Caenorhabditis elegans: one gene and its partner. The protein of the gene in region 1 interacts with the protein of each later gene in a pairwise test. Each region holds a gene or a part of one and is shown on either strand. Other genes may lie near its edges.

Region 1 (3,926 bases):
AACAAAAACAAACAGGGAGCAATAACAGGGAGACATCTTAAATATTAATAGTCTTGAAGACATTAAATCCATCAATTGAAGTGTTGATAGCCAATCCAGGAATCTGTTGATGCCAGTGAACTTCTTTGACCTCATTCTGACCCATATGGACGAACATCAGCTGTGGTGGAACTCCTTCGATATTCGTTTGTCCATCTGCTTCAGTTGCAATATCCCAAATTGTTGTCTGATCGTCTTCACCGGAAGCCATAAATGTCGTTGTTTCATGTGGATGCCAGTCGACTGAAGTGATTGGTGAATTGTGATACTTGAAGAGTGCCACTGGTTGACCGAATTGGATTGTTTTCAAAGACCAAATTTTCAGCTCTCCGTCATCACCACCAGAAACAATGAGGTTTTCGTGACGATTCCACGAAATAACATTAACATCGGATTCATGAGCTTTTTGCACTGTACAGACGCAGGCATCTTTTGGAGCAGAACGTGTATCCCATAGTTTGATACTTCCATCCGCGGAACATGAAGCAAGAAGTCCAGTTTCAGTTGGTGACCATGCAAGATCTTCGACACTCTCTGAAAAATATTGGAATATGTACTGAAAAATGCTCAAAAATTTTTATGCGACAAAGACAAGTTTTTAATTCAGATTTTTGTTTTTTTCCAATCTATTCAAGAAAAAACCACTCAAACGCCATTCAGGAGACACATTTCAATTTTTGGAATTTTCAGATCAAAATTAAATAAATTACTTTTATGTCCAGTTAATGGATTAGCTCCAACAGCCCATTGTCCTCCTTCCTTCATTTGCCACAAATAAATCTTTTTGATGATATCACCAGTAGCCAAGTCTCCAGTTTTTAATGAAGACCAAGCAAGTCCATATCCTTCTTTTCCAGATCCATTATTCGTGAACAAGGGTCGATCGATCTTTTGCACTTCAGTCTTCGACTCTCCGCTCATTCCATGAGTATAATTCAATGCATCAGTGATATTCCACACCTGGACACGTCCTTGATCACTCCAGCAAGCACATACAGTACTGTCACCAAGACGATCGGAACGAATTCGGTTAATACCACCATAGTGAGGAATCGAAACAGCGTGCATTTTTGGTTCTCTTTTCTTCTCTTCTTCGGCATCTTCATCTTCGGATTCGTCTTCAGAGGTGTCACTGTCGTCGCCTTTGTTTTCTTTTTCTTTCTGAAATACTCACTTTTATTGTAGAGATATCCTTGTTTTTTTTAGTTTAACAATTGTGTTACTGAGCTTAAAACTAAACGTTGGCCGGAATTTCAATTTCATAACAGGTAAATAATAAAAAAGTTTGAAACCGACTAACCCTCATCGTTGTAAGATTCTTCAATCCCATCACAATGATTTCGTTATCCCTTGGCTTATCGGCTTGAGTTCCACTGACAATATAACATTCGGCAGGGAATTGTGTTCTGTTCTCGCCCAAACCATCTTTAACAACGTCAAACGACAAGCATGGCCAATCTAAATCATAAAATATAAATATTTTAGAAACAATTTCGTTTGAATCACCAGAATTGAAACTATGAAATAGTTTGTAAGCACTAGGGTCAAAATCCAATTCTTCTCCTTTTTTCAATGGCCGGCTGAGGCCTGGAATGTAAGCCTGCAATTTTAACAATTAGAAGTATTGTACGAAATTTCTAGCTCACTTGTCTCTGATTCTCCGGTACTTCCTCGTCTTCATCATCAGTTTCATCAACTTCCTCTTCAGACTCGTCTATATCCTCCACTGGATCCTCATCATGCATTTCAACGTCATTTTCACCGGACATTTTCTGCAGATACAGAATATATCTCTTAAGAAATGTTAGAAAAAGCGGATGAGGTAATATTTGGAACTTCAGAGGGTGTTTTCTTAAATTTTAAAACAATTATGAGCACAAAACTACTAGTAAAGCGTGAAAATTGGGAGGATAAAAAAAATAAATAGGAAAACAGAAAAAATTTTAGAGTACGCAAAAGTGCGTCGTCTCTGGCTTATTTCATGCGGTGTTTGCGTACTCTTAATATTTTTATCAATTTTTTAATGTTTTTCGAAACAAAAGCTATTTTCCTTTTATTTGTATTCATTTATGTGTTAAAGATAATAATATTAAATATTAATATTTTTTGATTTATCTGTCGCAAAGTTTCTGTACTTTCTGACTATATTTAGACTTATTTTCAGCCTGAAACGCTCACCCTTCAACAATGGCCAACTTGGATGATGAACTGGCTTTGTAAGTTGATTCTTCCTATATTTATTATCAAACAAATTATATTATTTTAGATTTGAAAGCGAGTTAGCCGAACTTGAACAAGCGAGTAGCAATTCGGAGGAGCCAGCAAGCTCTCAAACGCATGTTGGCTACGATAATGCAACAATTTCGGCAGGACCAACTACTTCCGAGTCATCAGCAGCTACTTCTAGTGCTCAAGTTATTCAACCATCACTTTTGGCAGCGCCTCCGTTTATTCCGATAGCTGCCACAATTGCAGTTTCTCCATTTATCAACCCGGCACTTGGGAGGCTTCCAACAATGCCTCCAGTTCCACCTTCAATTTTCATGCCTCCACAATTAAGAGCTGCACCGGTTAGTTTTGATTTTCCGTTGACTTAAAAAATATCCTTATTTTATGAATAAAGCCATAAATTTTTGAGAGAAAAGTTAAAAATTGAAGTTATGTGAATATTACTCTCAATTGAATATTAAATTTACAGATAATGTTCCCTCCTCGAGTACTCGGAATTCCGGCTCCTGCAACTATTGAAGGTGCTCCAGCATTATATGAAACACCTGCAGTAAACGCAATTCCACAAGAACTTCTGCGAACTCAAGCTCTTCAATCAGATATTGATAAGATGAATTTCAAAAAGCAAACCGATCCATTTAAGAAGAAAATCAAGGAACAACAAGCGAAAAAGAAGTTTGTGAGATCCGGTGGTGGTCAGGTTTGGGAAGATCCATCTCTTGCCGAATGGGATGAAAATGATTTTCGAGTTTTCTGTGGAGATCTGGGAAATGAAGTGTCGGATGAACTTCTTGCAAAGGCTTTTCGAAAATACCCAAGTTTCCAAAAAGCCAAAGTTGTCAGAGAATCACGAACAAATAAGAGTAAAGGATATGGATTCGTTTCATTCAGAGATTCGGAGGATTATGTGAGAGCTATGCGTGAAATGGACGGAAAATATGTTGGAAATCGACCGATTAAATTGAGAAAATCGGCATGGAAGGAGCGTAATATTGATGTTATCAAGCAAAAGAGAAAGCAAAAGAAAGAACTTGGAATTTTGTAAATCGATTCGTTTTTCTACATTTTTTTCTGTAATTTATTCATTTATACCCCAATACTTTCATTGTACCCCTTATTTTCCTGTCATCGTATTTTTATTCATTTTTCTTTTCAATATATAAAAGTCTGAATTGAGATATTTATCGTTATTTGAGTATCAGGAGCACTGTTGCATGTCCAGTGCAAAATATACCTCTACTGTCATTTTAGAACATTACATTTTTGAGTTTTTTCTTTTCAATTCATATTTAAGAAAGGCTGAAATCTTTTGAAAACTTCAAATTTTGAGGGAACAATACCGTATCCGGTCTCGACACGATACATTTTTGTTAAATTCGAAATGCTGTGCGCCTTTAAAGAGTACTGTAATTAAAAAATTTCGTTGTAGTTCAATTTCTAACGATTCTTTGAAGTTGTTTGATAAAAATATATCTACTAATCAAAAACTTCAGTAAAGCATAAATTTTAACAATAACTAACAAAAAATTCTTGTCGAGACGGAGTACTGTATATTTAGCGCACAAAACGAGAATTTTCGTGTCTGTGTTTCAAAAATGTTCTTCCTGAAATTTAAATGATTTTGGCTGGAAGTTAAGATAGGTAGACATTATATCTAG
Region 2 (3,926 bases), on another chromosome or scaffold:
CAGAATTTCAAAAGGACCGTGACCTTATTTCAAGCTCCAATGCATACCTTAAACGCACGAAAGTTTATGCTCCACAAAGTTTGGCAAACTTTCTCGGGCGGCCCGAATTCATAATAAGTTTCGAGCCCGAAAAGGCTTCTCCTTTCAAGACAGTGATAGATGTGACGGATTTGGTTCACAAAGCTGCAGAAATTTTCCAGGAGGTAAAGGTTATTTTTTGGCACAAGCCGACACTTCACGGGCCAATTGATGTTTTTTTCGCATCAAATTTTGCCGTCCTGTAATTTGTCGGTTGCTCGCTATTGTGCAATTTTAAGGACCTAGCCAACTCACCAATGCCCTACAAATACAGCAATAGCCTGGAAAAGCTCACATTGGAAATGGAAGACTTGCGGTTAAGAAGCTCAAATCATAAAGTAAAAATTGTGCGGAATATTGGGAAAGCTGAATCGCTTGTCTTTTTCGAGCAAATGTTCTTGGCGACCGCGAACTGGTACGCAAGACTTCCAGATTTTACAAGTCTGGATCTTCGTGTTAAGGTATGGTATTCGGTATTTAAATTTCGAGCCAACAAAGTCTGTAATTTTCCAGCTGGAAATACTAAAATCCACGTGGATGCTTTGGATTCGACTGAACAAGCTAGCTGAAACAGCACAAAATCAAAGAATTAAAGAAATGGGTGCAAACATTTTTATGTGCTCAGAAAACACTTGTCTGAATGTGCAGGATATCAATGTTGACTGGAGCTGGTGTACCAATTACGGTGCAGAGCAAATGCAAGCGTAAGTTTCAGGTTTTTTAAATTTTCTTAAGAGAAAATTTTACAGATTCCTAATGCCAAATATTGATAAGCATTGGAGACAGCCAGTGGAAGACCTCGTGAAGCTCAACCCAACAGATATGGAGCTCAACTTCATGCTCATTCAACTCTGCCTTAACGATGCTGGCAAGAAATTTCAAGGACGTGTCCTAGAGGCAACTGATAAGCTCTTGCAAATCAATGCAGATAATTTGCATAATTATTATACCAAAAAGTTGAACATGCCATCATACTCTGGACGATTGACAAAACTGATGAAAATCAACCAAATTGTCGAGGAAGATGTGAGGGAGAGAAAGGAAAAAGCGAAGATTGTCGAAGTTTTTGACCTGTTTTCAATTGTTTATTCGCATCCGGAAATGTTTGAGGGCACTTGATTAATAATTGACAATAAAATTTTTGTTAAACAACTTACTAATGAATGTATCCTTGATTTAAAAAAAATCGAATTTTGAATGAAAAATTAAATTTTTATTCAATCATCACTTTTAAAGGTGGAGTAGCGCCAGTGGGGGAAAGTGTTAAAAACTACTCCGATGGTGCCAAAGTGGCCGAATATCATAATAAAACCATTCAAAGATTTTTTTTTGAAAATTGTTTATTTGCTGTCAAAAAGTGACAATTACTCAGTCAAAAATTTTGGCAACTGGACAAAACTTTGACCGGAAATTATGAAAAATCTAAAATTTTTTCGAGTGTTTTATTATAATATTTGGTCATTTTGGATCATAATAAGTATATTTAGGCAAAATCACGACTGACGCTACTCCGCCTTTAAGATATCAAATTTTGTTATTTCTAGAACTGCTGTTTTCCATTGAGAAAACTAAAAAACTCTCACTGAACTTTGGAAGTTCGCTGCTATAATTTAGCATTTAAAATGTTTTTCTAACTTTTTCTTTCAAGTATTGTCAGGGATAAATTTAAAAAAAAACCACCCATGCGTTTTAAAATGACCAAAAAAAATTTTAAAACTTGCCCAACTTTTTTGAGATTTTTTGACTGAAAATTTTGAAAAACCTAACAGGTTTTGTGTTTTTATGGAATTTGTACTTATTGGACTATTATATAACGGCACTCTATTTTTATTTGTTGATCTTTTGATATTCCCTACACCCTAAAACCGCAGTCTATTTATTTTCCTTTCCTTCAACAGTCTGCGTCTCTCGGCACGTTTTATCGGTTCTACACTACCATTGATCATCGTTCTTTCACGTGTTTTATGTATAACTAAAAATGCCACCTGCCCTCTACCTTTCCGGGCCATGCGAGATCTGCGAGCAACCGGCTCACGGCAATCATTTCGGTGTGCTCAGTTGCCGAGCGTGTGCCGCATTTTTCCGAAGAGCCGCACTTCAAAATGCAAAATATCAGGATAGAGTTTGCAGAAAGGGAAATTGCATTGGAAATGATTTGTAAGTGTTTTTTTTGTGTAGAAGCTGAAAACTTGAAAAATTAAAATTGTAAAAAATTTCAGATATCGCTGTAAAATCTGTCGGTTGAAAAAGTGTTGTGAAGTTGGGATGAACTCGAGCAGTGGGTATTTTTTAAACGAATAGAATGAAATTAATTTCATGTCATTTACAGAATTTCAAAACGACCGGGACCTCATTTCGTCTTCCCTCCGTCCAACGAACTACACGAAAACCAGCGCACCTCAAAGTTTGGCAAATTTTCTCGGCCGGCCCGAATTCATTTTGTGCTGTGAGCCGGACAAAGCCAGCTCCACGAAACGTCTGGTGGATGTGACAAGTCTTGTCGATAAAGCTTGGGCGATTTTTCAAGAGGTAATGGAGATATATTTGCGCCTAAAATATGGTGTATTCCTGAAACTTACATCAGATTTCACGCAAAATTTTTAACTATTACTCATCAAGTCTTTCCAGGATGCTGCATATTCATGGAGTCCTAATCATTACCCTAACTCACTGGAAAAGCTAACCTTCGAGATGGAAGAAATCAAATTAAAAGAGTCGAGCAAAAAACTGGAGATTGCGACAACTATTGGACGAAATGAGGCGTTGCTATTTTTGGAGCAATCATTTTTGGGAGCTGCTCAATGGTTTGCCAGGCTTCCAGAATTTTCGATGCTAGACCCGCAAATTAAGGTAATGCTTTTTTATCAGATGCTCTACATATTTACTTGAATTTTTCTAGATAGATATTCTCAAAACTTCCTGGATGATTTGGGCTCGACTGGACAAGCTAGCAGCAACTGCGGATTTTCATAGACAAAAATTGCTGGGAAATGATGTATACATGTGGACAGACAATACTTGCATGAATCCTGGAAATGTTAAAATCGATATAAAATGGAGTTCGAACTATTCTGTGGAGCAGTTGAGAGGGTTATGGCGGCTTTGGATTTTTTAATTTTAAATTTAATTTTCAGATTTCTAGTCCCCGATATCGAAAAATACTGGCGACATGCTCTTTCGGACCTGGTAGAACTGGACCCCACAAACGTTGAGCTCAACTTCATGCTCATTCAGTTGTGCCTGAACAGTGCTGGGCAGAAATATCAGGGCCACGTGCTAGAAGCCACTGAGAAAATACTGCAAATTCAATCGGATAATATGCACGAGTATTATACCAAGAAGCTGAAGCTAGTCAACTATTCTGGAAGACTTGCGAGGCTGATGAAGATCAATAGAGCTATTGAAGCAGACGTGAGGGATCGGAAAGAGAAGAATCATATTGCTAAAGTGTTCGATTTGTTTTTTGTTGAGTACTCCCATCCGGAAATGTTTGAATTTTCTTGATACGGTTTTTTCAATAAAGTTTTCAATAATTTAAAGGATATCCCGATTCCTTTCTTACCCGAAAAGCGCGGATTGAAATTTTTATCTTCTAATTTCTCGAATGAGATTAAAAATAGAGATTAAACCTGAAAAGGCCTTCAAAAATCATGGAAATTGAAAGTGTCCTCCCGATTTTGCAAAATCCTCATTTTCCATGTTTCGGTCGCTGTAGATGTACGGATGATAGTTTAAAAAAAGAATTTGAGTCAGTGCTGAATAAATAATATAAGGTTTTCTTAAAATCAAATATTTATGAAGCTAATACTAAACTGGTAAATTTACAAAAAAACACATTAATGTCAGCT

The links.
Region 2: the proteins of grwd-1 (region 1) and nhr-133 interact in a two-hybrid assay, tested with the Caenorhabditis elegans proteins (one large-scale study listed by BioGRID).

Annotation. Positions count from the first base shown.
Region 1 is NC_003281.10:5,151,428-5,155,353, reverse strand, and holds the start of grwd-1 (Glutamate-rich WD repeat-containing protein 1), read right to left. Parts: upstream 1,891-3,926; 5' UTR 1,809-1,890; coding exon 1,686-1,808; intron 1,640-1,685; coding exon 1,546-1,639; intron 1,498-1,545; coding exon 1,340-1,497; intron 1,201-1,339; coding exon 750-1,200; intron 574-749; coding exon 38-573; 3' UTR 1-37. Other genes in the region: rbm-42 (RNA-binding protein 42), read left to right, coding at 2,227-2,255, 2,306-2,609, 2,738-3,313.
Region 2 is NC_003283.11:2,210,204-2,214,129, reverse strand, and holds nhr-133 (Nuclear hormone receptor family member nhr-133), read left to right. Parts: upstream 1-2,011; 5' UTR 2,012-2,056; coding exon 2,057-2,235; intron 2,236-2,297; coding exon 2,298-2,356; exon of another isoform or gene 2,357-2,360; intron 2,361-2,407; coding exon 2,408-2,607; intron 2,608-2,706; coding exon 2,707-2,928; intron 2,929-2,977; coding exon 2,978-3,168; intron 3,169-3,212; coding exon 3,213-3,582; 3' UTR 3,583-3,620; downstream 3,621-3,926. Other genes in the region: nhr-184 (Nuclear Hormone Receptor family), read left to right, coding at 4-203, 318-539, 592-782, 828-1,197; Putative galactoside 2-alpha-L-fucosyltransferase svh-11, read right to left, coding at 3,921-3,926. UniProt on the Caenorhabditis elegans protein: Orphan nuclear receptor.